4 linked regions of the Tamandua tetradactyla genome follow. The protein of the gene in region 1 purifies or fractionates together with the protein of each later gene. This does not show direct contact. Links are inferred from orthologs where the notes say so. Each region holds a gene or a part of one and is shown in the gene's direction. Other genes may lie near its edges.

Region 1 (7,955 bases):
GAGACAAAATAAGCCAGAAAAAAAAAAACAACAACAGCAGTAGTTTGGTCACCTTTAGAAAATGCTCGTAAGAAAACAGGGGCTTAGATCGTAAGCTTTTAAAGCAGACACATTAAGTCCGGAGTGGTGATTATTATTTCTGGATTTTGAGAGGCTGTTTTATATTACTTGAAATTTAGAGATATGAACGAAGCCGAACAGGTTGGGGTTAAAGTAATTTAGAACACAGGGGTAAGGAAGACAGTGTCTATATTTTAGAACCACACATAATCTTTAAGACCAGTGGAAGAAAGGTTTATTTGATCTGGAACTGAAATTTTCTGTAATATATAATCTAATTCAACCTATCTGTTTAGCTCATTTGAGCAACTGAAACACAGAAAGCATAGAATAAGAAAGAGGTCTTTTAATCCTGTATAGGTTGTTGTAAAGCCTGGAAACATCCTAGAGTATATTAAGCAGATAATCAAAAAGTATTGGCAAAGTCCCCTGAGGAAGAGGAGAAAGAATATGGAACTATTAAACCTTACCATCAGGGAATCCCCTGATACTGTGTCAAACCTTAGTGATAACCAAATCACTAGGCCATGCCCTCGATCATGAGGCTTACTCTTGTGAAGCTTATGTAGGTAACAGAGAAGCTTAGGGTACCAAAGGCACACCTAAGAATTACTTCTGGAGGACCTCTGTTGTTGCTTAAATGTGGCCTCAGTCTCTTTAAGTCCAACTCTGCAAGTGAAATCATTGCTCCCCCCCCCCCCAACATGGGACATGACACCAGGGGAGAAGTTCTCCCTGGCAACGTGTGAGAGGGCTCCCAGGGATGAATCCAGACCTGGTACCATGGGATCGTGGGATCAACAATTACGTCCTGACCAGAAGGGGGAAAAGAAGTGTAATTAATAAAGTATCAGTGACAGAATTCAAATAGAGTCGACAGGCTACTCTGGAGGTGGCTCTTATGCAACATATCCTATCATAACCTGCCAACCCCCAACCAGGACCATTCCAGCCAATCCTAAAGAACAACTGGGGCAATATATAAGATTCCATAAGTGTTCCAGGCACTAGAGTAACTTTCTAGAAATCTGCAATCTCCAAATGGGTCCATGGTCCAGATAAGTCCTGAAACCTAGCCCAGCCTCTCCAGAACATCAGGTAGTTCCATCTCCCTACCCCATATTAGTGACATACCCTTCCAATATCAAAAATTTAGTATTTTCATAACCCAAGTAACCCCAAAGAGAGGCATGGAAAGATCAAAGGTGATGGTGGAATTATACATAGAAGATAGGACTTAACAAACATATATGAATGCTGAATCATTAAATTGATATCTCTTTTAGGCTACAGTATTTTAGAGCAGCTAGAAGTTAAAACCCAAAATTGTGAAATTGTAATCCATGTCAAAGTCTGAAATATGTTCCACACCTAATTGTTGTGCTGTGCTTTGTAATTTATAGCTTTTGTATATATGTTCTTGTTCATAAAAAAAAAGAAGGAAAAACCTCGATTGTGATTGTAAGAAAGTATTTAAGCCCTCTATTGTCCTATATTCTGGAGTAGCTAGGAGGAAAAATATGAGAGGATCATATGGTAGCCCATGCTATTAAAAAAAGAAAATTACAAGTGTTGAAGAAGATGCAGGGAAATAGGAACACTCATTCAAATGCTTTTGGTAATATAAATTGGTACAACCTCTGTGAACACAGTTTGATTGTTCTTCAAAAAACAGTATAGAATTACTGTATGAGCTGATAATCCTACTAATAAGTATATACTGAAAAGAATCCAAAGCATATTCAAACAGGTATTTATTTGCACACTGATGTTCATAGAGACATTATTCACGATTGCCACAAGGTGGAAGCAGGCTAAGTGTCCATCAACCAATGAAGGAGTAAACAAAATGTAGTCTATACATACAATGGAATATTATTGAGCTATATAAAGGAATGATGTTCTGATACTTGCAACAACCTGGATGAACCTTGAAGACATCATTTTGAGTGAAATAAGCCAAACAGAAAGAGGCAGATGTTGTATTATCCGCCTGATAGGAAATAATGAGAATAAGCAAACTCATAGACTCAGAACCTATAATACAGGTTACCAGGGAACAGGATGGAGATAGGGAATGGGAAATTATGTCTTCAAATGTACAAGGTCCCTATTTGCAGTGAGAGAGATATTTTGGTAATGGATGGTGGTGATGGTAGCCTAAAGTTGTGAATGTAATTAACAGCATTGAAATATATATCTAAATACAGTTAAAAGACAAAATGTTAGGTTGTATGTATGGTAGCAGAATTAATTTTTTTTTAGTCCTTGGAACATCAGGCTATAAATTGTGAAGTTATAAAAATGTGCTGTCATCATTTGTAATGTTCCACACCAATGCAAGATATTAATAATAGGGTGGTATATGGGAATCCTTTATTTTATGCATGATTGTTCTTTAAATCCACAGCTTCACCAAAAGATATGCTTTTACAGCAAACTTTGGGTGCATTGCTTGAGGTTTTAATATAAATTAAAAATATGAGGATATCATCTGTATCAAACAGTATACTTAAAATTTATTTCAATTATGATGGAATTCATACTTAAGGTTTATTTCAATTATGAAAGAATTCATAGTTTTATTTGAAACTGTAGTTGTTTCTTTCTGGCAGTAGATGCCAGTAGAGTTCTTCTTCCTCGTCTTTTTTTTTTAATAAAAATCAAACTGATTAAGCTCTTCCACAGCAACAGCTTCTTAGTCACATTTCCATATTTAGAAACATTGCTCCTAGGGCAGAACATTCTGCTTTCCTTAAGATCTTAGTAACAAATGGAAACAGTTTTGATAAAAAAAAATATACATAGGTATCAAATCTTGTATTTTAGAGATACACATCTTAACCCTTTTTTAACTATTGCAATTACTTTTGTTATAATACTTATCCATTATTTTAAATATATTAATCTTAGTGTTTTAGCAAGGAATTTGAAATTTCTTGTAGTGAGTCACTACTTTGAATATAAGTCGCAAATAAATAATAAAATGAAAAAGGTAGAGCTGAAATGTTAAGAGTAGTCTGCATTTGCCAATGGAATAAATATTTGGGGGCAATTAATATGGCAGAGGGCTGAATGAGTGGAGGGGGTTACTGGAAGAAGAGAGACCAATTAAATGGTTGTTTTAGATATTCACATCTGCACTAATAAAAATATGGTAAATAAAAATGGGTAAAAATGGAACTCAAGGAATAAATAAAATATAACTGACAATATGAGGGAAAGGAGATGTTCGGTGATATTACTTCTATTACTATGACTTCATCTCTTCATATATGGACAATTTAGTGCTTGCTGAATTGTTTACAAATATGGCCCTATCATAAATAAAACTAAAACATTTTCAAGTGCTTGAGGATCCTACCATGTTTTGAATAGTTTAAAATGAGCATAAACTTTCTTCGTTCAATGTGTATTTATTGAGTAACTAATTCATTCATTTCATTTATGAATTCAAGTAATGATTTCATTGCAGTTTCATAAACAACGAATTTTCTAACAGGAAATTATAAGGTCAGTAGAAACAGAGGAGAAAATAATTTTGTCTTTATAGTTTGTGGTAGACTTCACTGAGGAGGTAATGTTTGTGGTCAGTCTTGAGGATGAATAGAATTTCCCCAAAATAGCAAGTCAAAGGGATTCAGGAATTCTATCTTTTTCTGCCTATTTAGACCAATTAGTACTCTATAGATATTTATTACAAGTCTGCAGACACTTACTAATGTCTGTTTTATGTAAGGCACTGTGAGATGTAAAGAAGCGAATTATGTATTGTACATACAATATTTATAAAGTTATAGGTTTGTTTTATCTTAGATATACTGTTGCTTACTTGTTAATTTTGATACTAATTTTATTACACAAAACAAATTGTACACTAATGAGCTATTATTTGGCAATATTCATTAGTAAACACTAGCTCTGTTTGTGTGCGTGTGTTTGGGTAGCCCTAAAATGATTATATTATTGTTCCTCTTTATTAGTCATTACTGGTCCTATTTATTGTATTTGTCAAGGAGTTGACAGGAAATCTGTACCAATATATTTTTAAAATAGATTATTTTAAAGATTTTTCATTTTTGTGGCTCTTATTTAGAGCTTCCAAAGGGAGAACCACACAATTTATCGTCCTCTGATTTGTCAGTCTCAGAAGGTACATGCTTAAAATCATTGCTAAATGCCACAGGATTCTTTTTTTTCTACAAATAGACTTAGCAAATGTTATTAGAAAGAAATGTTCCTAAGTGAGAGCCCTAAATCAGAGATCAGGTAAGCAGTAGTCTTCAGTGTTTAGGTTTAAAAATGTGTGTCTTAGATAATTAGAAGGAATTTTTTTCTCCCACTTGAAATTTCTTGCTATGACTGATTTTGTATCATTTTAAATCTATATTTAATTATTTTTCCGAAATTTAGAATGTTTTAAAGTATACTGCTGGTTGTCATGTGCTTATCAGTGGATTATCTTTGATAAGCAATATTGACATACTATTTCTGTAGTTCCTATGTATGAACTAGACCTATGCCAATGATTTAGCAATATCCAGTTCTTTTTTACATCCTAGTTCATATGTTTTCTTAGCTATAACAGGTGTGGTATATATATATATATTTTTTTTTTTTTGCAAGGGTGTTTCATATCCATTCCATAGCAGTTTTCAGTGAAAAGTTTTCTGTTTATAAGAATACCTGAATTCTGTATATTAGCTGACTTCCTGGAAAAAAAGAATATCTCTGTTTTTATCATGCTATATTTGGAGGGTAGTTTGACCTTCAGTTATTTATATAGAGTTGGTAATACATGTTCAAGTAGTTATCTTTTTTTAATTTTAATTTTCAGCCTATTGTCTGTATAAGACTTTAGTATGAATACTCTCATTAATATGTATATTGATATTAATATTAAGACACTTTTAAATGTAGAGACTTTTAGGTAGGTATTTCAAGTTTTAAGATCATCATCTGTAGTTGTGTTAGAAAAAGTTTTGCTAAGAAAGGCTCAGTAATGTGCTGTTTTATATTAACAGGAAACAGAATAGCAGTAGTGGTTTGAATACCCTGCAAACAGGAAGTTTGACATATGCATAGCTCTCAGCTTCTGTGTAAGAACTTGTTGAGCTCCTTCTGGAAATATTTTCAGTTACTTTAAGTAAAGTGTAAACGCAGATGAATGGCAGCTTATAGAGAACTACCTTATCACCAGTGTACAGGTACAACTAATGCTCTTCAGAAATTGGAAGGTTTTGCTAGCCGATTATTTCATAGACACTCTAAAGGTACTGCACATGATCAGAAAACAGCTCTGGAAAATGACAGCCTTCATTTCTCTGAACATACTGCCTTATGGGACAGAACAAGTAAGTTTTGTTTTGTTTTTATGATACATTATAACTAGCAACTAAAGCAGGAATTAGAGCTTTAGAATCAAATGTATAAAGAACCATGTTTTGTTTGTCTTTTTATGGCTTGCACAGAGCATTTTGCGAGATGAAGTTGAAAGAATTCCATAAAAATTTGATTAAATGTTGAGCTGCATCATGCAGTTCAACTTTTTGTTTATAAGTTGATTGTTAGTGGGAAAATTTTCTGCAAAATACTTATAACATTTCTAAATGTATGCTACTGTTTTTTTGTTTTTGCTTTTGGTCTTATATAAAAATGAATGGCTAAAGTTTAGAAACAATGCTCAGTGTATTTTTTAAAAGATCTTGGATTTATAAGTCTTAACCTTCAAAGGGGGCAAGAAGACTCCTGAATGTATAACTAATTTCTGTTTGCCATCATTTATTTTTAAGTGCATAGATGAAAGTTATTTCAGTTTTACAAGTAGGGCTTACTAAAGTAAAATCATAATATGATTATTTGGTGTGAAATCTTAAACTTAAAACATTATGAATGTCAAAATGTATCATGATTTTATGTCATTTATAATTATGACTAATGGAAAAAAAAAGCTGTTAATGCATACATCACATTCTTTCCAGACATGTTAAAATGTTTGGACTTAGCTGCTTTGTTAAAATGATTATATGAAACCATTTTTGGTGGTATGCACTTTAAAAGATTAATTAAATATATAAACAATGCCAGGGCCTCCATTCCACATCTCACCTTGTATCCTTCCCAAAGTATTTTTGTCACTCGGGTTAAAGGAACAAGAGAATTGCCCTTGATAACCATGCCCTTTTTTGTATGCTTGTTTGATCATCAAATAGCATAGGTTTTGCCTCTTTCTGATTATATATTCCCTAGCAGTTAAGGAAGAAAACTTAGTTTAAAAAAAAAGAAAAAAATAATACAAATAGTTCACAAAATTTGCCCCTTGGTTTATATATTTATAGCACCTTCATAGTCGTATAGAGGCTTATTTGAATTATTATTTTTTTACTGCATCATAATTTTTTTTGCCCTTGCCAAACTATTCAAGGCAGAAAATGAAGAACAGCATATATTTTTGCAAAATTTTTTTTCACTCAAAGGGTTTGATTTTTTTACATTTAGTCCTTATTGTGTATGAAGTTGATGGAAGAGGAGTCTCATAAATTGCCAGGTTCATGAACTACTGTCTGTTGGATTAATAGTACATTGTTAAATTTTTCCACATGACAAAAGTTTGTCATTCTTTCTGCTTGCCCTGTTCGGTTAAATTGCAGTCTCCTAAGCTGTTTTGGAAATCATTTCTGTGCATTCCAAAGACCTTTTAGTCTAAAGTTAAATGATGACTGAGGACAATATTGTATTAAGTTTTGTTTCACTAATATTTCTTCCTCCATATAGTAGTTACTTAGTAAGTACATCATAAATGAATGAGTGTCATGGACTTTTAATAATTAAAATATGTGTTTGAATATACTCTCACCATGTTTAAAATTGTATGGGCTCTCTGATGTTTTCCAAACCACATTTTAAAATCTTACAATAAAAGATACAGTATCATGAGCCACAATTTCTTTAGGAAAAGACAGACTGACAAAATGCTGTTATCATTTTTCTTCACAGTAAAGTTACAAAATAATATATGTGAATCATTGTATGCAAGTAAAATGAAACCTAAAAATTAGGTGCAAGCCTTGTATCCCTGCAAATAATAGGCATGATATAAGAAATATTTTAAGAGTAGCAGTGTGCATTAATTAAGTATTCCTCCATTCTACTCTCTTTCATATCACAAAAAGATCATAATAGACGCAATAAGTACATATATAATGGCAGATATGGGAAACATGGAGCTGTATTTTCCTATTATGGAAATGTGTTTATATAGAGGAGAAAACACTGATACAGCAGAAACAGAAGACTCCTATTGTTCTGAAATTCCAAGATTTATTTTCGTGGTGAAAAAACAAGTTTTTATTCATTTATAGAGTGAGATGTAGGAGTTTTGGCCATATAAGGTTTGCATACAGACCACATTCTTCAAAGGTACTTAAAGCAGTTTGCTTGCATGACTTGTTTAATAAAAGAAAAAGACTGTAGTATCTCTTGATGATAAACATTCTTGATGATAAGCACTATAAAAGTGTTATTTTAAGAAATCCACTAAGCATAGAAATTGTATGTAGCTTTCTTTTTAAATTAGGCTTATGAACTATTGAGTAAAGATTATTTGCCAATATAAGCAGAGGTGAAATGTAACTTTAATCCAAGTTTCTTTTTTATCCGATGACATATATGAAAAGATAAAGAATAAATGCTAAACAATAGTGGTTTTTCCAGATGACTTTAATGTGTTTCATCTTTTACTACTAAAATAAGTAACAGGAATTTCTATTTGTAACAGAAGTATTTAATCGTTGATTCCATATTAATGTAAGAATATGAAGTTCAATGCAAAGCCATGGAGGAATTCTTTTTGTTATGAGTCAAAATAAATGGCAGTATTGATATTTATAGGGTTT
Region 2 (7,178 bases), on another chromosome or scaffold:
ATTATTGATTACCATGAGATAGACTCCAACATCAATTCTATTTCTATTCTCCACTCCATACATATAAATTCTGACAAACCATTAACACTTAAGTAAATAGAAAGAATGGAAGTTTCTTACAGCAATCTCACACAATTTTTTGAACTCCTTCCCAGTTAGATGCCAAAAGTACAAAGTAATTGTTCACTAAAAATTAATTATTTTTAGTGGTCTATTTGGAGGAAACTCAATTAGAGTCTCCTTCAATTTCATTAAAAGCCAGTAATTGGAAACCTCTTGACTTGCAAAGACTATTACTTATAGCTGGTATTCTTTCACTTAGAACATCCTTGGTTAATGTGACATACTCAGAAAAGATTGGAGAAATAGTAATACTGTTAATTTTAACACACCTTTGCCTATATAATACATTCTGATAAAAGCATATTTTTTTGAGAAGGAGAACGTTTTACCCATACCTTGACAGATATCGGTCTGAGGACATGCAGAGGCAGGCATGATAGTAGTAGTGAGTTAATATGACTTCATAATGTTCTGAAGACTAGGGATAACTGGATGTCATGAGACTCCATCCCATCTTCATGTTTTCATTCATCAATTCATTCACTCATTTATTCAATGAATAGTTTCTGAGCATCTACTACTTGCCAGGCACTGCTAAGCAAAACAGTTGTGGTCCCTACTCACAGATCCTACAGTCTAGTGGAGGAGGGAGACAGGCATTAGCTAAATAATCTCACAAATAAAAATCATTATAAATTGTGATCATACTTTGAAGAAAAAGTAGGAAGTCTAGATAAGGGGGAAGTTTACTTAATCTGGGGAGTTAGGACAAGAGTTCCCGAGGAAAGGAAAGTAGATTGAAAGTTAAATATTCTTGGATGTTCACAGGCTAATGGGGATGGACAGAGAAAGGACATTCCATACAGTCTGAATAGCTTGTGAGAAGGCTCTGAGGCAGGGAGGGGCTGGCCAAGTTTTGAGGAGCTGAAAGGAGAGTCTGAGGAGCAGAAGGATATGAGAGGAAAAGACAATGTTAGGTAGATCACAAGAACCATAACAAGCCATCAGAAGATTTTAAGCAGGGGAGTGCTACGGTCAGGTGTGAGTTGCTTGAGAAGAAATGCCAACTCTCTGAGGATAATACGTACATACTTCAAACAACAGGAAAAAATGACAAAGTCTAGGAGCAAAGTTATGTCTTAGGAAAAGAAATATGGATTTTTGTGAACTGACTAAATGTAATGTCTTGTATTTTTAAAAATGTTTTTATTGACAACATACACAAACATTCTTAACACACAAACATTCCATATATGGTGTACAATCAATGGCTCACAATATCATCACACAGTAGTATATTCATCACCATGATCAGTTCTTAGAACATTTGCATCACTACAGAAAAAGGAACAAAAAGAAAAAAGAAAACTCATACATACCATACCCCCTACCCCTCCCTCACACTGATCACTAGTATTTCCATCTACTCAATATATTCTAACTTTTTGTTCCCCCTATTATCCGTTTTTTTATTCATATTTTTAATTCATCTGTCCATACCCTAGACAGAGGGAATATCAGATGCAAGGTTTTCACAATCACACAATGTCTTGTATTTTTAAGGGATTAAAAAGAATAAGCAACACCTGCATAAACTTGTACTACAAATGTTCATAGCATTGTTTTTCATTTTAGCCAAAAAGTGGAAACAACCCAAATGCCCATTAACTGATAAAGATAATAAAATGTGGTTTATCAATACAAAAGAATTTTATTGGAGAATAAAAAGGAATACAGACACATGCTACAACATGGATGACCCTTGAAAACATTATACTAAGTGAAAGACATAAAAGACGATATAATGCATGATGCCATTTATATGAAATGTATAGAATAGGCAAATTTATGGAGCCATAAAGTAGACTAGTGGTTGCTTAAGCCTGGGAGTGGTTGAGGGATTGACTGCTAATAGGTACCAGGTTTCTTTTAGGCTGGACAAACGGTTCTAAAGTTAGATTGTGGTGATGGTTGCACACTTCTGAATATACTAGAGAACATTTAATTGCACACTTTAAATGGGTAAATTGTAAGGTATGTGAATTCTATCTCAATAAAGCTTTTTTTTTTAAAGAAAATTTTAAAAGCAACTGGAGCTAGGGACATCCGTAGAAATGAGTCTCATTTCTTCATATTCTCTTGACTCCAAAGAACTGTAGAAGGAGAGAACACCATGACTGTCCTGCTGGACTGAGTTGGGGGAATTTATGCCTCTTACTTGAATGGTAGAGTTGAACTCCACTGATCATCTAAATTAACAATACTAAGCAGCTGTTTCAGTTAATCATTAATGAGGGCTCTAAAAGAGACTCAAAAAAAAAGTGCCTGATTAGCATTTCAAAAGAATGGTCTTAATTTGTTGAAATACTTTTTTCTTTCTTTCTTGTTTTTTTTTGTTTTATCATTCTCCCTTTTAAAAAATGACCTGTTTCTTGATTTCTTGCTCTCATTAAAATTGATATTGTCTCCGATTTTTTTGACATTTATTTTCCATTTACTTCTTTAAACTCTGATTAGGAACATGTGAATGATAATTCATAAAATAATACTTAGGTTTAAAATAGCTACAGAGAAAGGGAATATGAGGTTGAGCAGGTGGCAATGCTTACGTTTTCACACTCTGAGGTGGCCAAGGTTTCTTAGGGAAGTATTCCTGGTATCTGTATTAATCAGTTTCATAATTCCTCAGCTGGTGTGCGTGTGTCTAGTTTCATTTGGCTTGTGCTGCTGGCTCTGTTAGATTTTTATAAAAATTCATTGCACTTTCCTTTCCAGCTTCCGTCCTACTGGTGTGTACTTGCCAAAGTGTAACCAAGGCTTCACCCTGCTGCCGGTAGGCCAGTTAGAGTGCCTTGTTTTATGCATGAGGAAGCTGAGACTCAGGGAAGATAAGATCCTCTGATTTAGTTGCGTCACTAGTTAATGACAGGGCATGGAGTTGGAACTCAAATATTCAGATTCCTGTTTCTTGTAGTTGCACACTCTTGATTTTCCAACCTTCAACCTCAAACTTTTAAAATCATACACTTAGGAACAAGTACCTACATAGAACATCACTTTATGTTCCTGTATCTTAGAATTGACCTGTGCGGGAATCTGCGCGGAGGGAAAAAAATCAGGGTAAAAAATGGCTTTTTTTTTTTTTTTTGGTTGCTACTTGTTGCAAGTAATAATAAAAAAAAGTCCCCACTTTTTCTCCTTTTTTAAATACCAATAAGTCATGCTTTATCAATGCGTTTTAAACAAAAGTTAGGAAATAACACCAGGACTTCTAATCTGAAGGTTTGTAAAAGAGGAATGTCAAGGTCATTGGAAATTAAGATTGTCACCAGTGGCTGTCACCCAGACTACAAATCTTCGAATTGATCTCCCTGCATTCTGCTCTGGGCGCCTTAAGATCCATTCTCTGCTAGAAAGAGCTTCTGAAAAAATGTAAACCCTACTTAAAACTCAAAAATGCTTTCCATTCTTTCTTGACCTACAAAGCCCTACAGGATCTGCCTCATGTTTACCCCTCCAAGCTCATTTCCTCTTTCTCATTTTTTCCTCCTCAAACCTACTAGAACAAGTCCCAATTTAGAGGCTTTGAAAGCTCTTTTCTTGCGTGAAATATCCTTCCCTTTGATTTTTGCATGACTATGATTCAAACTGTTTAACTATCTCCTCCTCAGAAGGGTCGTCCCTATTGTAGCCATCCAATCAGTCACCATCACATCGCCTACTGTAATTTCTTCTCATAGCAATTGACACCGACAGATAATTTTTCTATCTTTTTTCTCCCCTTCAGATACGCGTCCTAGAAATTAGGTTATTACAATACGTCATCATCGTTGCTCAATCGACAGCCTAGAGTCGTGCCTAGATATTTAGGAGCGCCACACAAACAGGGCAGAACATGAACCATAGTGAGGATACGTTTAAAAATATATTTCTCATCCGTCAGGTAATTCCACCCTTGAGGAATAGGTGCCCTAGTCAGGTGCAACCTGACTGAACCGGTCCTTCCATTGTAAGCATTCCGGCTGTTTAAAGCGTATCAGCTTTCCTCTAGGGCCGGGCTTCTCCGTGGCCAAACGCCTTTCGTTCCGCTTTCGTGACCACGTAAAGGAGAAAAGGAGAGCACTAGGGCCCGGTGATCCCTGGATGCTAACTCCTTCGGCTAGGATAGGCCAAGGGCCCGGTGCGCCCTCAGTGGTCCTCCCTAGAGATGCTGGGGAGAAGGGGCGGGGCTACCCTGAAAGGATGGGCCCTTCCTTGGACCGTCAGATCTGGTAGGACTGTCGATTTTGGCAAACCCCGGAGCGTCACAAGAAAGCAAAGTTGACGTTGAGGCTAAGAAGATGCCCCGCTGGCCTAGGGGGTGAGATTAAGGGGTCGAAGGAAAAGACACTAGGCCGAAAAACGAACCTGCGGAGAAGAGCCGAGGCCGAGGCTTTTTGCAAGAGCAAAGGGTTAAACCGTTTCCAAGCCAACGGACTAGGAAGCACGCGAGACGTCCGCCGCAGGTTCGTAGGTCAGCCTCGAGTTTAAAGCTCCCACGGCTGAGCGGGCTTCGGCCAATGAGAGGCCGTCTCCATATCACGTGACTGGCAGGGCCGGTCCGGTGGTTAGCTTCGAGCACGTGGGAAGCGTTCTCCCTGTTGCTTCTTTCCTTTATCGAGAGCCCACCCACTTTTGCGCGGGCTTGGCCACGGTGTTCTTCTCGCGAGAGGCGTGCATTCACGCGAGAGTGGGTGGGAGGCGTGGGCCGTAGGCAGTGCTGCGGTCAGGCGCGGCTGCAGCGGAAACCCAGGGGGTGGGCTGGGCTGGGCTGAGCGGGGGCGGGCCGCTGGGTGGGGAGGGGGAAGGCTGGGAGCCGGTGCGGGAGGGGGCTCCCTCTTGCTCGCCCCATTCGCGCGGCTGGTCGTTGCAGGCCGGTGACATGCTTGTGAGCTGCGGAGGCTGCGGCCCCCAGGTGAGCCGGGAGCGGACCGCCCGCGGCGCAGGCGGCAGGTTGAGGGGGTAACGGCTGTCTTTGGGGTCGGAGTGGATGGAGCCGCTTTGCCGGTGCGTGTTCCGGTTCGGACCCGCTGGAGAGCTGCGTCTTCTCACGGCGGTGGGAGGAGGGCGGTGGGAGCGAGGCGGAGGGAGGACGCCAGAGGCACGCGGCTGTGTGGGGGACCCTGGCGTTCGGGCCGTGGCCGTGGGGCTGCTGTCCCTTTGAATGACAGATTCAGTTTCCATCCCCGGCGTGTTTGTCAGAGTCGGGGCTTCTCTGTGAGTACCGGTGCGTGTGTTTTGTTTGTGTCGTGTGCATTCACGAGGAGCGTATGCACGAGAAGGACATTGCACTTTGTCCCCAGTCAGCGCATCCTTCACTGTCAGAAGCCCTGCGCTCTGGAACCAGGCACAGCCCAAATCTTATGACTGAAACGGAAGGCGTCAAGTAGCTCATCAGAGTACTGACGTTTGGATTTGCTTTAAAATTCTCTCATGCCGTTAGTGGCCTAAATGTAGGCCATCCAGTATTGTGAATGGGCTGTGTATACTTGTATTCCAGGCATCTAAGCTGCCTTCTTTCTCTCTTTCTCTATGTGTAGATATATATATATATATATGCATATAAATACATATATATATATTTGTAGATATAACCAAACTGAAAAAAAAGCTCAAACATTGGCAAAAGGACAAATGACAGTAAAGTCTAAACTCCACAGTGATAGAACTTGTTAGTAATTCTTTTCCTCTCCTCTTAAGCCTTATTAGATTGAGGTGGTTTATCTTGAAATATTGAGGAATTTCAAGATGACAAATATTGCTGAGATGCATATTTAATGGCCTCAGTGCAAAACAAACTTCACATTTCTGATTCTCTTTCTGCTTTTGTAATTATTTGGTCAGTACCTTGCAGAGCACCTAAGTTGTCCCTAGCTTCTCCCCACCTTTATTTTGATATGTCTGAAAATATTCGGAAAATATTGGCTGCTCAGTAATACAGAGAAGATTTTGTTGTAATACCTTGTTTATAATTTTTGAGTAAATGCCCAGCACTTACTGGTGTCAGTTAAAATAGTGCAATTTAATGAATCTTTTTTATTACACAGTCATGCTCATTCAAGCAGTTATTTGTTATTCATGTATTTCTTGAGGCAAAATGTGACCCCAGGGATGACACTGAATTTCATGATTGGTTGTAACTGTAATAGGGTAGTTTTTGAGAGATCAGAGTGTGTAAGAGATTTAGGAAAGAAGTGGATACTTAAGTGGAGTTGGTAACTCACATCTGGTGAATATACTCTGAGTTGGTAACTAGTGACTGGTGCATATATTCGTGTATATCCCCATTGAACTGCACTATTGATGAGAGCCTGCCTAGGGTTATATTCCTAGGACAGTGATATTTCCAAGTTGTTCAGGATATAGGAGTTGCCAAAACCAGAGTGAGAAATTCTCTAGCTTCTGAACTCCCGGAGGAAGTCTAGAAACTAAAGTATTCCCTTGCCTTCAGAGGCTGGAAAAAGCGTAATGCTTCAAAAAAAATTTTTTTTTAAGTTTTAGGAATTACTATCTAGGTAAGGAAATCAAACTAATTCAAATGGTACATTATAGGTAATTCTAAAGGAAATTTCCACTTATAAGTGGGCAGAAGACTTCTCCCGAAACTTGGCCAAACATGAAAAACTTAGGAAATTTGCGAATGGGCAAAAGTACTCAATCTAGATTAGAAAAAGTTCCCTCCCATTCCACCATTGCAGACTGATTCCAGAGTTAGAAAAATAGAAGCTTTGCTGTTCTTTATCTTTTGGTTTCAAACTTTTAGAATGTAGATACTTGTTATTTTGTCTTTCTTTGAAAAGTGTGAGGTAACTTTGGGGAGAGTAGGTTGGTAAGCTGGTTAATTTTTTTCTGTGGAGTGGACTGCATTTTGGTAATAAAGTAAAACACTGGGAGAGAATGGGGGGTAAGGACAGCTGAGGAAAAGATCTGTTTAGCCTGCGCTTAAGTGAAGGGTGTATAAACTGATATGTGGGGAAGAGGAAGGAAAATACATTATCAATTTAAATATAGACTCGGCAGATCCGAATGTCTTCATTCTTCCATTCATCCTTATATATAAAAGTTCATTTTATTTT
Region 3 (7,873 bases), about 41 Mb from region 1:
CTAAATTAAAAGTTCACTGAAGACAGAGAAAAGATATACTGTTTGCGTAAATTCTTGCTTATTGCTTGGTTTAACATATACTTTAAAATTCACTTTAACAGGGTGGGCCACAATGGCTCAGCAGGCAGAGTTCCTGCCTGTCATGGTGGAGACCCGGGTTCAATTCCCGATGCCTGTTCATGAAAAAAAAATTGCTTTAACAACTGTATTTAATAACTTAACTTGAAAGACTATAATGTTTACTATTTTAAGATGAACTCTGCTGATGATCATAATATTGCAATCTATAGTTGAACTGGAAATCTGGTTTTAAACAAGTGTTTTGAAATGCTATATTATTAATGCAAAATATGACTATTTCTGATTTCTTTAAGATTTCCAACCAGCACAGGGAAATCACATACATACTTGTGTTATCACAAAGCACAGCTGGCTCTACTTTGATTTCCTGCATTTCTCATCTGCCTTAGCTTCTCTGCCAGAATCTTTTCTTTCTTTCTTTCTTTTTTTTTTTTTGCATAGTTTTTACTAATTAGAGCATCTGTTTCCAATTTCATAACTAGGGCAGTGAAACCTGATACAACTGGTTTGGGACATGGGATTTTCCACCCCTCTAATTCTCTTGGAAACTCCCTTCCAGCCCAGAATTAGATTTTAGAAACACTACAACCTTGTTGCCACACAGGGGTTACAAACGTGGCTATTGTTCTCATTGATACTTCCCAGGTCCCAAAATCTAGAGATCAAAATGGAGATAATGCAAAAGACCCCTACCACAGTAAGGCTTAGGAATATTGCTCCAGATGGGGATATAGTTCTCTAAATTTCAAATAGATCATGTAAGTAACTCTTCATGATGAGTGTTTCCACTTACCTGAAGAGCTTCTTTCTTATTTTTGACAGAGATTTTTATGATTACCATTTAGGATAGTTCTAAGTTCAGTGGTTTTCAAAGTGTAGTTTCCAGACAGAAGCATCAGCGTGACCTGGGAATTTGTTAGGGATGCAAATCTTGGCCATCACCCTAGACCTACTGAATGGAAATTCTGGGAGTAGGGTCTAGCAATCTGTGTCTTAACAGGCCATTTAGGCACTTCCGATGCATCTTAAAGTGTGAAAACCACTGTTTAATTTCAAGACAACTTTATTTTGTAGATTAGGAAATTAATGGCCATATTTAAGTGACTTGACATAGGACATACAGGTAGTAAGTGCTTGTGAATGCATTTATCTACCAATTTTGTAAGCAAATTGCTGACACATATAATTAATAATTCGTTTAATTCATAGTAGTTTATCATGACATGAAATCTGTTGTTTTCCTTTATTATTTATGTTTGATAGTTTCAGAAGTAATCATCCTGTTCTAAGCCATCATGAAAGCCCCTAAGTCTCATCTTAAAAACATGCCTTGCCTGCATCATAAATATGTCATGTGTGCTATAAGTGCGCATAGAATAACACTTTCCAAAGTTGGCAGGGATAGAACTGTAAGAATTTCTTCTTGGCTATATTTTGTCTTCCTAATTTTCAAAGTCATTTTTAAATTAAAGTAGGAGATTACTTTCTGCCAAAGAAACCCTTCAGATTAAAAGTTTTTGGGTAGTATGCATTTTTATATTTATTTACTCTTTTTAACCTTTGTTATTCAACTATACTAGCATATATAAAATTTGTAGCTCTAAGCATTCAGCTCAGTGAACTCTGACAATTGTATATGCCCATGTATAGATACGGAAGTAGAGAACATTTCCATTATTAAAAAGCTAATAGAGAATATTTTCATCACCCCAGAAAGTTCGTCTGTGTCCTTTGCAACCAATTCTCACACTATCTCCACTTCACAATTACTTTCTGATACTTATCACAAATAAGGAAAGGAGAAAATAAATATTCATAATTCCACTCCAGACATAATCACCATTTAATGCCTTATATTTCCTTTGAACTTTCTGGTTATACAAGTCCTGTACACACATACATCATATATATTACAAAAATTCTTATTTCAACTTCAAGTCTTACCACTTTGACTCTGCTGTTAGTGTGTCAAATTGGCACTATTCTAATTTTAAGTCTAGAATATTTTCTAAATTTATTTAATTTTAAAGACAATACATGAATATACATTCATTGCCCAAAATTCAAATGTTACACAGTACATAGAATAAAAAGTAAATGTCCCCCTTCAGCCCTATTTTGCTTGGCTCAGCACAGGTAGTCAGCGTTGACTGACTACAAAATCTTAACCAAGATGATACTAAGGACCATAAACTGGATTTATTACTCCATGGTTTTTCTTCTTTCCTAAATGTTATTTTTAAGTTTTGTTATCTGCACATCAGACCTTTTAGTTGGTATTAAATTATCTTACAATGCCAAGTGATTATGGTAGGACTAGTTCTATTTACTGTATCTTGCTATTTGCATTGAGGTACAGTTTAAAAATTTTTCTCTAGGCGTGAACAGAGTTCTGTCTGTAAGAGTTCTGTCTTTTCTTTGACTGTCAGGAGGTTTATTCTTATCTATGCCTGGAAGCCTAGTTATATATAGCTCTGTCTTTTAGTATATTGAGAGTATATCAAACATATTCTTCTCAAGTAAATTGCCTTTCCATTATTTGTACTGACTTGTACTTCTTATACACCAAGTCATCTGTATATTGTCATTAAAATTTGGAGACTATCATCCAGATGCAAAATCCTATTAAGGAACAGAGCATAATACAAAGTATTATTCACAATTTGCTCCTGAAGGGCACTTTGTTTTATTAATTACTTTGTTTCATTAGCAGTGTTCTAATAGGACAAATGTGGCTTGCATTGACTGTCAAAGATGAGGTCTTGATTAATAACGTCTTATGCACTTTTCTGGACCTTTGAATTCTTACTGTTCTTTAGGACAGTATTTACAATTGGGTATGGCAGGGGTAGTAGCATCCTATTAGGCTGCCTAGTCTGTCTGTCAGAAAGGTCAAGTCCAGGAAACAAGATCACTATAGATTCCAAAGATTGTTGTTTGATTTCTTCTCACTTTGAAGCTCATCTACCCAGAGGAAGGGGAAAGTGCAGTTGTCATGAGTTCTTCTTGGAACTCTATTTTACAGTCTTGGTTTTAGGGCCAGAGGTGTAATATTTAGATAAGACAAATACAAAGTTTTGTAGCCTAATAACGGCAAAATTCTAAGGACTGTCTTTCTTTCTCACAATGGAACAATCAGATGTTCTTTTAAGTAATGAGAGATGAACACAATTTTATGTGTGCAGAGCCCTATAAAGTTTTAAATTAGTTTAAAATAATCTCATTATATTAAATTATTAGCTATTATTTAATGAGCCAAATACTGTTAAAGCTCTTCCCTCCAAACCATCTCATTTAATTCTCGATAAGGAATTTAGAAGTTTACTCTGAGTTCCCATTTAAGACTTGCATACCTCCAGACTACTGAGTGTGGGTTCTGTCCTGGGGATGAGGTTTAGAAATACTTGGGCCTTTCTAACCTCATTTCACAAGGTCAAGCTAGTGAATTTACCATTATTTTACAATTAGGAAGTGTACGCTCTGGAGGACTTCCAGGTGATTGCTGAAGCAGGTTTCTGTTCTTCGTGTCCAGAGCCTGCAAGCCTCTCCAACCGGAAAGAGACCTCCTTATTCTAAGTGGTCTTTGACACCTGCATTCCGCCCCGCCAGAGCTCCGGTCTCCCTCCACTTTTTGTGGCATTCCACGTTCTGTATCCGAAGGTGGAAGGGCTTACAACTGTAAAGCATGGAGTGGGACAGCACTGTGCGTACTGCCTGACCGTGCTGAAACTCCAAACGCTCTTCGTGCCGAGATCTGAGCTCCGCGACAGTCTCCGTTCCCGCTCAGAGAAGCTCCATCTTTTGTTCTCGTTTGTCCCCTCCCCGCCCCCAAGGCAGGACCGTCTTGGACCTTGTCTACTTGGACCTGAAAGAGAATCAGGTGATAGCAATCTACTCTCAGGTATCTGCGTTCCGGAAAAAGCCCTTTTCCTCTTCGATTCTCTGCATCATGTTGGCTAAGCAGCTGCATTCACGTGGGGGGTGCTGGACTCGCCCTCCGGCCGTCGTCTTGTCCCTTCCGGTTTCTTCTGGGGGCGTGAAGGCCAGCCCTCGCTCCCTCAGCGTCGGGGGCGAGCATTTGTCCTCCCTTTTCTGGATACTCCCAAAAATCGAGGGAGGGGGTGCACGGAATTGCTAAAACCTGCCCTCCTCGCCGCATCTGGTCTCACACCAGGACAGCCCCGGGGCCTTCCACCCCCGCGGGCCGAGCGGGCCGAGGGGCGGCGCGCGGCGGCACCAGGTGGCACGGGGAGGCGGCCCCCGCCGGAGTAGCGGCCCCGCCGCGTCCCAGCGCGAGGGTCCGTGAGGGGAGGGCTGCCGAGTTGAAAGCGGCCCGCCGGTGGGCAGGGGCGCCACAGCGTACCCACGGCGAGGTCCTCCCAGTCTGCTCTGAGCAGCGCGCCCACCGCGCGCATGCGCAGAGCTGGCGCCAGCCTCCGGGACTCCGGCTCCCGGCGGACCCTGACGGCGGCGCAGGCGCGGGGCGGGCGGCGCCATCTTGAAATCGGATCGCCAGGCTTTGAGGGTTTGCGTCAGCCGCGGACGGCCGCGGGTGGCCCGACAAGCTGGCCTTCTAGAAGCGGAGGGCGTGGCGGCCGCGGCGGCCGGCGGCGGAGACAGCTGTAGGGGATTTGGCAGGCTGAGCGCACGTCCCGCGCGCTGCCACTCGGCGCCCCCCTGAGGCGCCCCCTGAGGCGTCCCCGCGCCCGACCCCCTCGCCGAGGGCGGGGCTGAGCGCTGGGGTCCCCGGAGGCCGCGCGCGGGAGCCCGAGGTACGGCCCTGCAGGGTGGGGCCATGCCAGCCGGACCTTGCCGAGGCGGGAGGCCGCGCGGAACCAAGGGCGAGTGAGCGATCCCCGGGCCACCGCGGCCACGGGCAAGCGCGGCCCTCGCTAGGAGGGGAGATGAAGGAGACTTGCAGGATCTGTGCCCGGGAGCTGTGTGGGAACCAGCGGCGCTGGATCTTCCACACGGCCGCCAAGCTCAACCTCCAGGTTCTGCTTTCCCACGTCCTGGGCAGGGATGTCTCCCGCGATGGCAAAGCCGAGTTTGCTTGCAGCAAATGTGCTTTCATGCTTGATCGCATCTACAGATTCGACACCGTTATCGCCCGGATCGAAGCGCTTTCCATCGAACGCCTGCAGAAGCTGCTGCTGGAGAAGGACCGCCTCAAGTCCTGCATTGCCAGCATGTATCGGAAGAACAACGAGGACCCCGGCGCCGAGACCGAGGCGGGGAGCGGGACGGTTGACATGTCCGGCCTGCCCGATGTCAGATATTCGGCGCTGCTCCAGGAAGACTTTGCCTATTCAGGGTTTGAGTGCTGGGTAGAAAATGAGGATCAGATTCAGGAGCCACACAGCTGCCATGCTTTGGAAGGCTCTGGAAACCGACCCAGGAGATGCCGGGGCTGTGCAGCTTTGCGGGTTGCTGACTCTGACTATGAGGCCATTTGTAAGGTGCCTCGAAAGGTGGCCAGAAGTATCTCCTCTGGCCCCTCTACTCGGTGGTCTGCCAGCATTTGCACTGAAGAACCAGCCTTGTCTGAGGCTGGGCCCCCAGACTTAGCAAGCACAAAGGTACCCCCCGATGGAGAGAGCATGGAGGAGGAGACCCCGGCTTCCTCTGTGGAATCTTTGGATGCAGGTGTGCAGACCAGCCCTGCACAACAGAAGGAGGAGGAAACTGAGAGAAGTGCAAAGGAACTTGGAAAGTGGGACTGTTGTTCAGACGAGCAGGCTCCACCGCATGTGTGTAACCACAAGCTGGAGCTAGCTCTTAGCATGATTAAAGGTGTCGATTATAAGCCCGTTCAGAGCCCCCGAGGGAGCAAGCTTCCTATTCCAGTGAAATCTAGCCCACCTGGAGCCAAGCCGGGCCCTGTGGTGACAGATGGAGTTAGTTCCGGTTTCCTTAGCAGGTCTTTGAAGCCTCTTTACAAGACGCCTGTGGGTTATCCCTGGGAGCTGGCAGACCTGCAGGAGCTGTGGGATGATCTCTGTGAAGATTATCTGCCGCTCCGGGTCCAGGTATACAGAATGGTTATGTAGTGCCTTTCCGATTAGATAGTGCCTTTCTGGTTCCATAGTACCTCAGGCTTCACCTGAAGTCTGTCTAGTAGCAGGTAAGTAATCTAGACCTGAGAAACTTAGCCATTGAGCTCATTTTTGCTGATTTGTTTTGCCTGTGTTCCATTAATAAATGTGATTCACACTCAGATAATTTGCTTTTCACAATCTTTATCCACGCCTTCCTTTTAAATACCAAAATGACAGGACCTTTCAAAACAGAAAGATAGCACATTTTACCCTGTAAAAAGACTACATTTTTTGCCTTAGAAATCTTTCCTCTTACTTCCTTTTCTGTTAATTTTTCTTTTAGATTTGTAGATGTTTTGTTCCTTTGGCTTTTTGTAAGGGAGTTAGTGTACTTCTTCTCTGGAGCATTAAGTCTTTCATCCCCAGGTATGCCTCAGAATGATTAGAGCAAAAGGGAAAGATTTGGGGAGAATTTATTCGTCTGTTAGTAAAGTATTGCAACATCTGGGCAAGATTTATTATAATTAATAGGTTATTCGAGGACTAATGATGATTTGCTCATAAAAGATATGTGGGAATTCAAGTAGTGTTACTTACAGTGATAAGGAGCCAGTTTGTCTACTGAGCTCTTCTAGGTCAGGTTTGATGTTAAGAAAGAATCCACCTATTACTGTGTGATAGAAGAGGTCCATGCCATTATTCCTTTTCAAATTTCTTGACTACTAGAGAATAGCGGTTGATCTTAATTTGAGATATCAAATGTTTGCATACCAGTCATTTAAATTCAGCTTTGTGTGGGGACCTGACAGATGCATTTTTGTTTCTATAGCTATAGTAAATGCTAGGTTCATTTAATTTTATGAAACATTCTGGTACATTCCTTTTGATACAAATTTTTTAGTGCTACTAAAGGTAGACAGTGTAAAAGGCATTTTTGGAAACCATGCCTTTACATCCCAGAAGTTTAGAGCTTGATAACAGATGAAACTTTTGATTGTCACTCGAAAAAAAAAGTTTGAGGGGGTGGAGGACATTAATTTGTATCACAATAAGAAAAATGTGGGAAAAGTTATTAACTTTGCACAATTAAATGTACACAAAATTTATTAAATTACACAAAGTTATCAGACACAGCATATGAGTGCTTGTAAAAGTATAAAAATCAAAACCATTTTTTTTTTTGGCATGGGCAGGTGAGAACTCTGCCACTGCACCACTATTGCCTGCTGCCAAAAACTTTTAGTGTGTTTATTTGTGTAAAATGTTCAGTATTTGTATGCCTAATACATGCATATTTCTTTTCCATAACTTCCTTTTCATTTATTAGCACCTCACAGCTGAAAGACATAGAAGTCACAAATTAAATATAGTAGTTACATATTAGGATCTGAAAATAGTCCAAGTGGATGGGAAATACTTTTTTTTTTTTTTACCCCTTCACATATAGCCAATATTGTAGAACAGTAAAGACATGGAAAATTATAAGCAAATCATGTTTTTTTTTTTTCTTCCACATTTAATTAAAAATACCATCTTTTGGGGCTTGGACTCATCAAATTTTGCAGTTGGGATGGATTTTAAAGATCATCTCATGCAGTTCCAATTTAGAGATATAGGAAGCTCATGTTTTAAATAGTTCAGTCCTAATAATGCCAAAGATTACTAATTTCAGACAAGACCTTTTTATTCTGTGTGTTAGACTACGTTGCCTGAAGTGCAATTTAAATAAGTACTTACTTTCCAACAAGAGCTCT
Region 4 (6,831 bases), on another chromosome or scaffold:
TGATGAAAACAGAAAATCGCCATTTGACAAACACCACAGTATTGATTGTTTCAGGCAAGAATCATCAATGGATGCTAAAATTTGTGGGTGAAATTATGATGAAAAACAAGTGTTTACATGGGCCTCAAAGTATCCCCCACAAAATTCTTATTACAAAGGGAACATAGTAATTTTACATAGAGAAATGTGGCAGACACTCCTTGGCCAAGAGATCACACACAATATCACTAATTAATGAGATATTAACATCATGTACCTCCTGATATGATGCCCTAAGAAGGGCATGACATCACTTTCATGGAATTCTCACAAAAAGTATATAAACCTGCATGTAATCATGAGAAAACATCAAACAAACCCAAATAACTGGCAAGTTTTTCAATGGGATTGACATTATGAAGGAAAAAGAGATGGAAGAGACTAAGGAGATGTGACAATGTATTGACAATGGAGGCCCTGGGTTGGAAAAAGAGCATTAATGGAAAAATTGATGAAATTTAAATAAGGTCTGTAGATTAGAAAATCTATCAACATAATTTACTCTTTTTGACAATTATGCTTTGGTTAGTTATGATTTTAACATTTGGGGATGCTGAGTGAAGATTATATGGGGAATTCCTTTTTTCTAAGTCTGAAATTATTTCTAAGTAGGAAAAAAAACCAAACCAAAATAATTGTGGGTTTGGTCAAATCATTTCCCTTCTCTGAACTTTAGTTTCCTCATCTCTAGAACATGGAAATCATTCCAATCGATTTCATGGTTTCATGAGGATAAAATGAAACAGTGCAAAGTGCCAACATGCATGTATTTATCCTGCAAAAAGTTATCGTTGTTTTTAGAAATGGCACTTCATGTGTGTTGAGCTGTGTTCTCTATCCTAATGAGAAACATCTGGCTCCAAGCTACTGGCTTTAGCCATTTGATGTGACGTTGCCCAGGGAAATAAAAATGCCAGCTTTTGTGGTTGGGTGGCTGTTGTCAAGGAGATGGCTCCAGATAGTACAAACAGTTGGTGGTGACATCATCTTTAAGCTTGACTGAAAGGTCATGGTGAGACCTCTCTCTCCCTGACCATGAAACCACTAAATAGCAGGAAAAACAACTTTCTAAATAGTCTATCCTTTGTGCAAATTATTCTATTTTCAGTTTTCAGGGTCATTAAAGGGCTTAGTACATAGTGCAGGAGTACGGTCATTTGTTGAATAGGGCAATGGATTAATCATAATAACTCACAAGCTCTTTTTCTTGATAGTTATCAATGTATCTAATTAGATAATGTATCCATGTGAGCTTGGCATTGTCCTCCCCATTTTACACATAGGAAAACAAAAGCTCCAGCCAGGGAAAGGGACCTCAGCTCACAGATATGTTGGAGGAGTTTCCAGATAGAGAAATCAGGTGTACGGACTTGTAATACACCTGTACAGGATGTACAATCCTGTAATCATACTGCTGATACTAAGATTGATTTCTTAGCTACCTTGAAGCTACTAAAGGTAGAGTCCCATGAATGCAGCACTGAAATACTCTTGTCTGGATATAGACTTCACCTCTTAGACCCAAATTCAAAAGTGGAGAAAAACAAATAGGGAAGACAGGTTGCATCTATACTTAGGGCATTGGAGGTCAGCGACTTGGGCTTAAATTCAGGTTTTTCACTTATACCAACCAGCAATGGGACCTTCAGTAAATTATTTTTACCTCTTTGAGCCTCAGTTTTCTCATCATTCTGTAAATAAAAGGAAATATTAGTAGTACCTATTCCAGAGACTTGTTGTGAGGGTTAAATGACGGTTATATGCCTGGTGACACATAAGAGATACTCAAAAATAAGTAAGCTATCTTCTTGCTTCCTTTCTTAAGAGCTTTCAACAATTGAACTGAATTGTTCTTTCATAGGGAAGTGATGATTTGTTCTCTTAGCCTCTCTCACCAAAAAAATAATTGGTTTTGTGTTAGTAGCTTTGAAATAAAAACAGAGAAATCATCTCCAAAACTGCGAGAGCCTGAAAGGTCCATCCAGTCCAACCCTTTCATTTTACAGATGTAGAAACTAAGTCTCAGAGATAAGAGGTGGTCTGCCAAATATCACAGAGAGTTGGTAACAAAACCAGTGTGGCTATTCTGACATTCCAGTTTCCTTGCTTTGGATGCACTTTTTTATCTTCTGGCCTTAGCACTTGCAAAGAGTTTTGGTTCTAAGCTTCAAGGACTGCCCCCTATCTGGGGCAGGACACTGGGTGTGTCAACTGGCTCTTGCCCTCCCTCCCTTTTAGATCGATCCTGGGGTGCTTGAAGAACTGGGAAAGGAAAAGGGACAGACGTTGGCTTATGGGCCTCACTAAAGCTGAGGGAGGGAGAGAGGAGGAATGGAGAGAGAGAGAGAGAGAGAGAGAGAGAGAGAGAGAGAGAGAGAGAGAGAGAGAGAGAGAGAGAGAGAGAGAGAGAGAGAGAGAGAGAGAGAGAGAGAGAGAGAGAGAGAATAAACATGCAATTACCACTGACTGACTTCTTAAAGGTATCTCAGGTGGTCACAAAAACCTTGCAGGATAGATATTAGCCCCATTTTCCAGATTGAGTGATTGAATCATTCATTCACCTACCATTTTTAAAAACACATACTGGGTAGCAGGCCCAATATATGCTATATGTAGTGAATATAGCAGTGAACAATTCAAACACAGTCTCTACCCTCATGGAGCTTTCAGTCTAATGCAACAGAAAGATTGAAATGCACACACACACATATAAATACATAATTGCAAAATCTGGTAGATGCTACCAAGGCAAAACAAGAGGTGCTAAGAACAAGAAATGGACCTTATTTATACTGGAGGATCAGGGAAGGCCTCTTTTAGAACATGGCATTTAAATCGAAGAATGATGAAACTAAGGCCAAGAGGGGGCTTATTTATGGATATAGGGAAAGTCATCACCTACCAACTCACCCATTTTTTCAAGTTGTTTTCATCCACTACTCTTCCCAACAACCTGCAGAGGAAGGTGGTAGCACTGAGATAGGGAGAGGAACGTTGATTTCACTGATCAGGTTTCGTCAAAATTATCTAGGCGTTTAGTGGTAGATGTGTGCTTAAATAGAGACAGTCAATGTTATGGAGAGAGCCATGAACCAGTTGGCAGCGGCCGCATATCCGGCCTAGGTCGACAGACTTAACTGTGTATGTCTTTGGGAAAGCCATTCTCTCCCTCTGGGCCTCAGTTTACTGATTTTAGGTGCTGAGCCCTAAAGATAATAAAGGATCACTAGGTGAGAGATTGGAGTGGGAGTGTCGCTGAGCACTTCTTGGTTCATAGAGATAAACTTATTTACTTCAAACCAATTACGCAAATTAGGACTTGAGTTGGGATTCCACATTTAGGATTCTTCCAAAGCAAGGCAGCACCCGATTATATGAGTTTAAAATTAAGGCGAAAGGACTGGCAACCGTGGCTAAGTGGCAGAGTTCTCGCCTGCCATGCCGGAGACTCGAATTGGATTCCGGATCCTGCGCATGCAAAAAAGAAAAAAAAAATTAAGGCGAAAGCCTTTGGACGTGGAGCCATCATTCTGTAAAGGGAAACACAGTTTAAAAACTCTGTGGGTCCGTGAGAGACAGGATCCCACTTCCCGCTTAAATTAACGACCGGGACGGTTATGCGCCCTCAACAAAGATGGCGCCTGCCCTGACTTCGGCCTAAGTGCCCTCACCAAAAAAAAAAAAAAAAGAGCCGTCGGAACCCTCTTTTTTTTTTTAGTCCTCCTAGGGTGCGGATGACCTACCCTTAGTAAAGATGGCGCCAGCCTGAGCTTCCCTGCCCGGTCTGTAGCTTTGGCCGGTCGGCTTCATCTCGCGCGTTTCGGGGACCCCGCCTCGTTTCCGTAGGAAGAAGCGCGGGGAAAGATGGCGGCTGCTGCGGTTTGAATTCCAGCGGCGCCCCTAGAGTTCGAACGAGAGCTGGGTTGGAGGGGGCGGGGACCCGGGAAACCCGGCGGGTCGCTCCAGCGTGGGGAGTGTGGGGGTGGGGGCGGGAACCAGTGGCGCCGCTACCACAGTCACTAACGCCACCACCGCATTTGTGCCCATAATGAACTCGGCGTTGGAGGAGAACGTCACCCTCCCCGGGACGCTGAGCGGCTGCAGGTGCGGCCCGGGCTCCAGGATTCGCCTTGAGGAATCTTTGGGTTTGCTCTTGTGTGTGCGTGTGAGCGTCTCCTGACAGGGTAGTGTGTCGGGTGGGTTGCCTGCGGGGTGAGGGTGGGGCTGTTCTTAGGGAGCTCACCTTCTGAAACTGTGGGGATTCCTGGGGGACCCGATCTGCAACACACCCGCTTCTGATATTTCCAGACGTACTTTGAGGAGGGTGTGAAGGACGGGTAAGTGGTTTTCTGAAAGAGCGGGACAAGGGGGCCTCTTGGAGTGTGCCATAAGTGGAGGCTCCGTGGGGGATATGGCGTCTTAAGTAGGGCCTTTGAAGAGATTTTATGGTTCATTCAGGGTTGGGGATTTGCTTTCTTTATGGGAAGTGTAGTCCATATGTCCAGACTTTGTTCATAGGACTATGGAGACTGAGGCGATGGAGTGCAGTGGTTAAGGTATTGGCTGGAGTCAGACAGAATTGGATTCAAATTCAGCCTTGTAAACTGTCCATCAGTAGAGGAGTGGGAAAATAATCGTTGTTTAAAAAGTGTCTTTCTGACTATTTGTGTTCCATTAGTGGTCATGAAATTCAGTTTAGTAGGTTGTAGCCAGAGGTTAAAAAAAATCGAGTAGAACAATAGAAATAGTTCAAGAATTAAGGGTAATATATTTTCTTCTAAGGGTTGTGGTCAGTAAAGTTTGAAAAACAGTGCTGTAGAATGCTTTGTGGGAGTTAAAAATATTGAGGTAAATTCATTTGTACTGACATGTAAACATCTCTAGGACACCGTGTGTGAAGAAGATGTAAAATGATATGTGCAGTATGATGGCATTTATGTTTTTTTTAAATCACAGAATAAAACTATTTCTCTAAGTGTGTAAATACACAGAAGAAGGCTTGGAAGAATGAATATGCTGACAACAGTACTTGCGTCTTAAGATAGGGGTGAGGAGTAGTTAGGGTGAACTTTAAGTTTAGGTGAACTTTAGGTTTATCTGTATTTTTTGACTTATAATTATGTATTATTGCTCTGATTAAGAGAAGGGAACAGAAAGGAAAGTGAATTGTTGAACTACAAACAGAAGTACACTTAGTGTAATTGTAAGTCTGAATGTAATGTCCAGTCCCGTCCAAGAGCTGTCAGGACACTTTAAAAATGAAACAGCTCTCCTTGGGTCTTGTGTGAATGAACAGTTGTTGCCACTTAAGCACAGAAAGAGATAACTCCTTTTGGGTGCCATTAGAGTGAGATCGGAGAAGGGGATGGTGCAGCTCAGGCAAGGGTTCATTTTTTCCCTCAACGAATATACAACAAATAGCTGCCTTTGTAGCTGTGCATTGTGCTAAGTGCTTTAAGTCCTCTGCCTACTTCATGCTGTCTTCACCACAACCCAGTTGAAAATGTTAGGGTTGCCAGAGTAGTGAGCATGGTGTTTGAAATCAAGCTGGTTTGGGATTTTTAGCTTATTAAATTGAGGGACCTGTTTGCTTGTTTAAAAAAAAAAAGTGGCAGCATTTAAAAAATACCACTTACTTCAGAAGGGCTGTGGTAAGGATTAAATGGGAGGTTGTCTCATCCTGAGCGTGGTTGCCTGTACTGGAGTGCTCCGTTCTGGTTAGGTTTTTGTGATCATTATACTTTATTTTGCCCACGAGGAAACTTACCCTACTGCATGCCATATCCATTTAGGAGCTTTGGGTGGTCTAGGCACAGGGTCAGCGAGTGGAAAGGGTGCTGAGAGACTGGGATTTTGGCCTCATTTTTGCCACTAACCCTTGAGGTTCTTTCTCCTCCCTGGACCTCCGCTCCCAATGCGTACAATGATAAAATCGTATCTAAGTTTTCTTCCTTTGTTTTCATTATTTTGGTTTCTAGTAAAAATCCTTCAGGCCCCAACCTTAGTTATCAGGCTTAGAGAACCTCACAAGGGACAGAGGAACTGCTCCTGGCTGGAGGTGTTAATTGGAACCAGCTGGAGGATGCAGAGGTCAGAGATTCATAACATTTTTAAAGTTGGTAGCCTAACTTTAAGTGGAAATTTGGCAGGAACCAAACAGGAACTTGTTCATTACATGGTGGGTTTCTTCTAAGAATTGGGATATCAGATGTTATTTTTCAGACTTTAATGTTTGCCTTTGGGTAGCTTGCCTAAGATCAAATTGTTTGACTTTGCCTGTTAGGTAGTTTTCAGCTGTGATTGATCTTGGCTTGGGCATATAGAGACCAGACTCCAGCCTATGCTTGGCCAATAACCTTGGGCCTTTGGTCCACCATCTGTAAAAGGTGGTAGTGGAACTTGATCTTTTTTTTTTTTTTCACGGGCAGGCAGCGGAAATCGAACCTGGGTCTTTAGCATGGCAGGCGAGAACTCTACCTGCTGAGCCACCATGGCCTGCCTTTGATCTTAATTTTTAAAATTTGTTTTGGAAAATGGACTTTATCCCTCTAGTGATGCTTACTGCAGAAAATTGAGACTTACAGAAAATTAAAAAGAAGAAAAACATCTGTGATTTTCGCACAGATGATTATTTTTAATATTTCAGTACATTTCCTTTGTCTTGCTGTGTATTTATAGTTTACCTGATACCAAACAGGATTTGAAGGCATGTTCTGCTTTATAGCAGGCACGTTTTATCTACTCGTTGTCCTGATATTGAACTTTTATGGTATTTCCAGTTATTTGCTTGGT

Evidence for each region.
Region 2: the proteins of PRKACB (region 1) and AKAP11 purify together in Homo sapiens (affinity purification with mass spectrometry; 5 studies listed by BioGRID and IntAct, counting the BioPlex papers as one, with this or other methods). This does not show direct contact. The link is inferred for Tamandua tetradactyla from reciprocal best matches to the Homo sapiens genes PRKACB and AKAP11.
Region 3: the proteins of PRKACB (region 1) and PDE4DIP purify together in Homo sapiens (affinity purification with mass spectrometry; 5 studies listed by BioGRID and IntAct, counting the BioPlex papers as one, with this or other methods). This does not show direct contact. The link is inferred for Tamandua tetradactyla from reciprocal best matches to the Homo sapiens genes PRKACB and PDE4DIP.
Region 4: the proteins of PRKACB (region 1) and CDK5RAP2 purify together in Homo sapiens (affinity purification with mass spectrometry; 4 studies listed by BioGRID and IntAct, counting the BioPlex papers as one, with this or other methods). This does not show direct contact. The link is inferred for Tamandua tetradactyla from reciprocal best matches to the Homo sapiens genes PRKACB and CDK5RAP2.

The regions. Positions count from the first base shown.
Region 1 is NC_135337.1:40,932,314-40,940,268, reverse strand, and holds the start of PRKACB (cAMP-dependent protein kinase catalytic subunit beta), read left to right. Parts: upstream 1-4,943; 5' UTR 4,944-5,227; coding exon 5,228-5,414; intron 5,415-7,955. UniProt on the Homo sapiens protein: Mediates cAMP-dependent signaling triggered by receptor binding to GPCRs.
Region 2 is NC_135330.1:116,862,998-116,870,175, reverse strand, and holds the start of AKAP11 (A-kinase anchor protein 11), read left to right. Parts: upstream 1-4,178; 5' UTR 4,179-4,568; intron 4,569-4,904; exon of another isoform or gene 4,905-5,017; intron 5,018-5,090; exon of another isoform or gene 5,091-5,109; intron 5,110-7,178. UniProt on the Homo sapiens protein: Binds to type II regulatory subunits of protein kinase A and anchors/targets them.
Region 3 is NC_135337.1:314,927-322,799, reverse strand, and holds the start of PDE4DIP (myomegalin), read left to right. Parts: upstream 1-4,864; 5' UTR 4,865-4,985; coding exon 4,986-6,110; intron 6,111-7,873. UniProt on the Homo sapiens protein: Functions as an anchor sequestering components of the cAMP-dependent pathway to Golgi and/or centrosomes.
Region 4 is NC_135328.1:36,971,478-36,978,308, forward strand, and holds the start of CDK5RAP2 (CDK5 regulatory subunit-associated protein 2), read left to right. Parts: upstream 1-3,822; 5' UTR 3,823-4,087; coding exon 4,088-4,143; coding exon of another isoform or gene 4,144-4,184; intron 4,185-4,282; exon of another isoform or gene 4,283-4,364; intron 4,365-6,831. UniProt on the Homo sapiens protein: Potential regulator of CDK5 activity via its interaction with CDK5R1. Negative regulator of centriole disengagement (licensing) which maintains centriole engagement and cohesion. Involved in regulation of mitotic spindle orientation.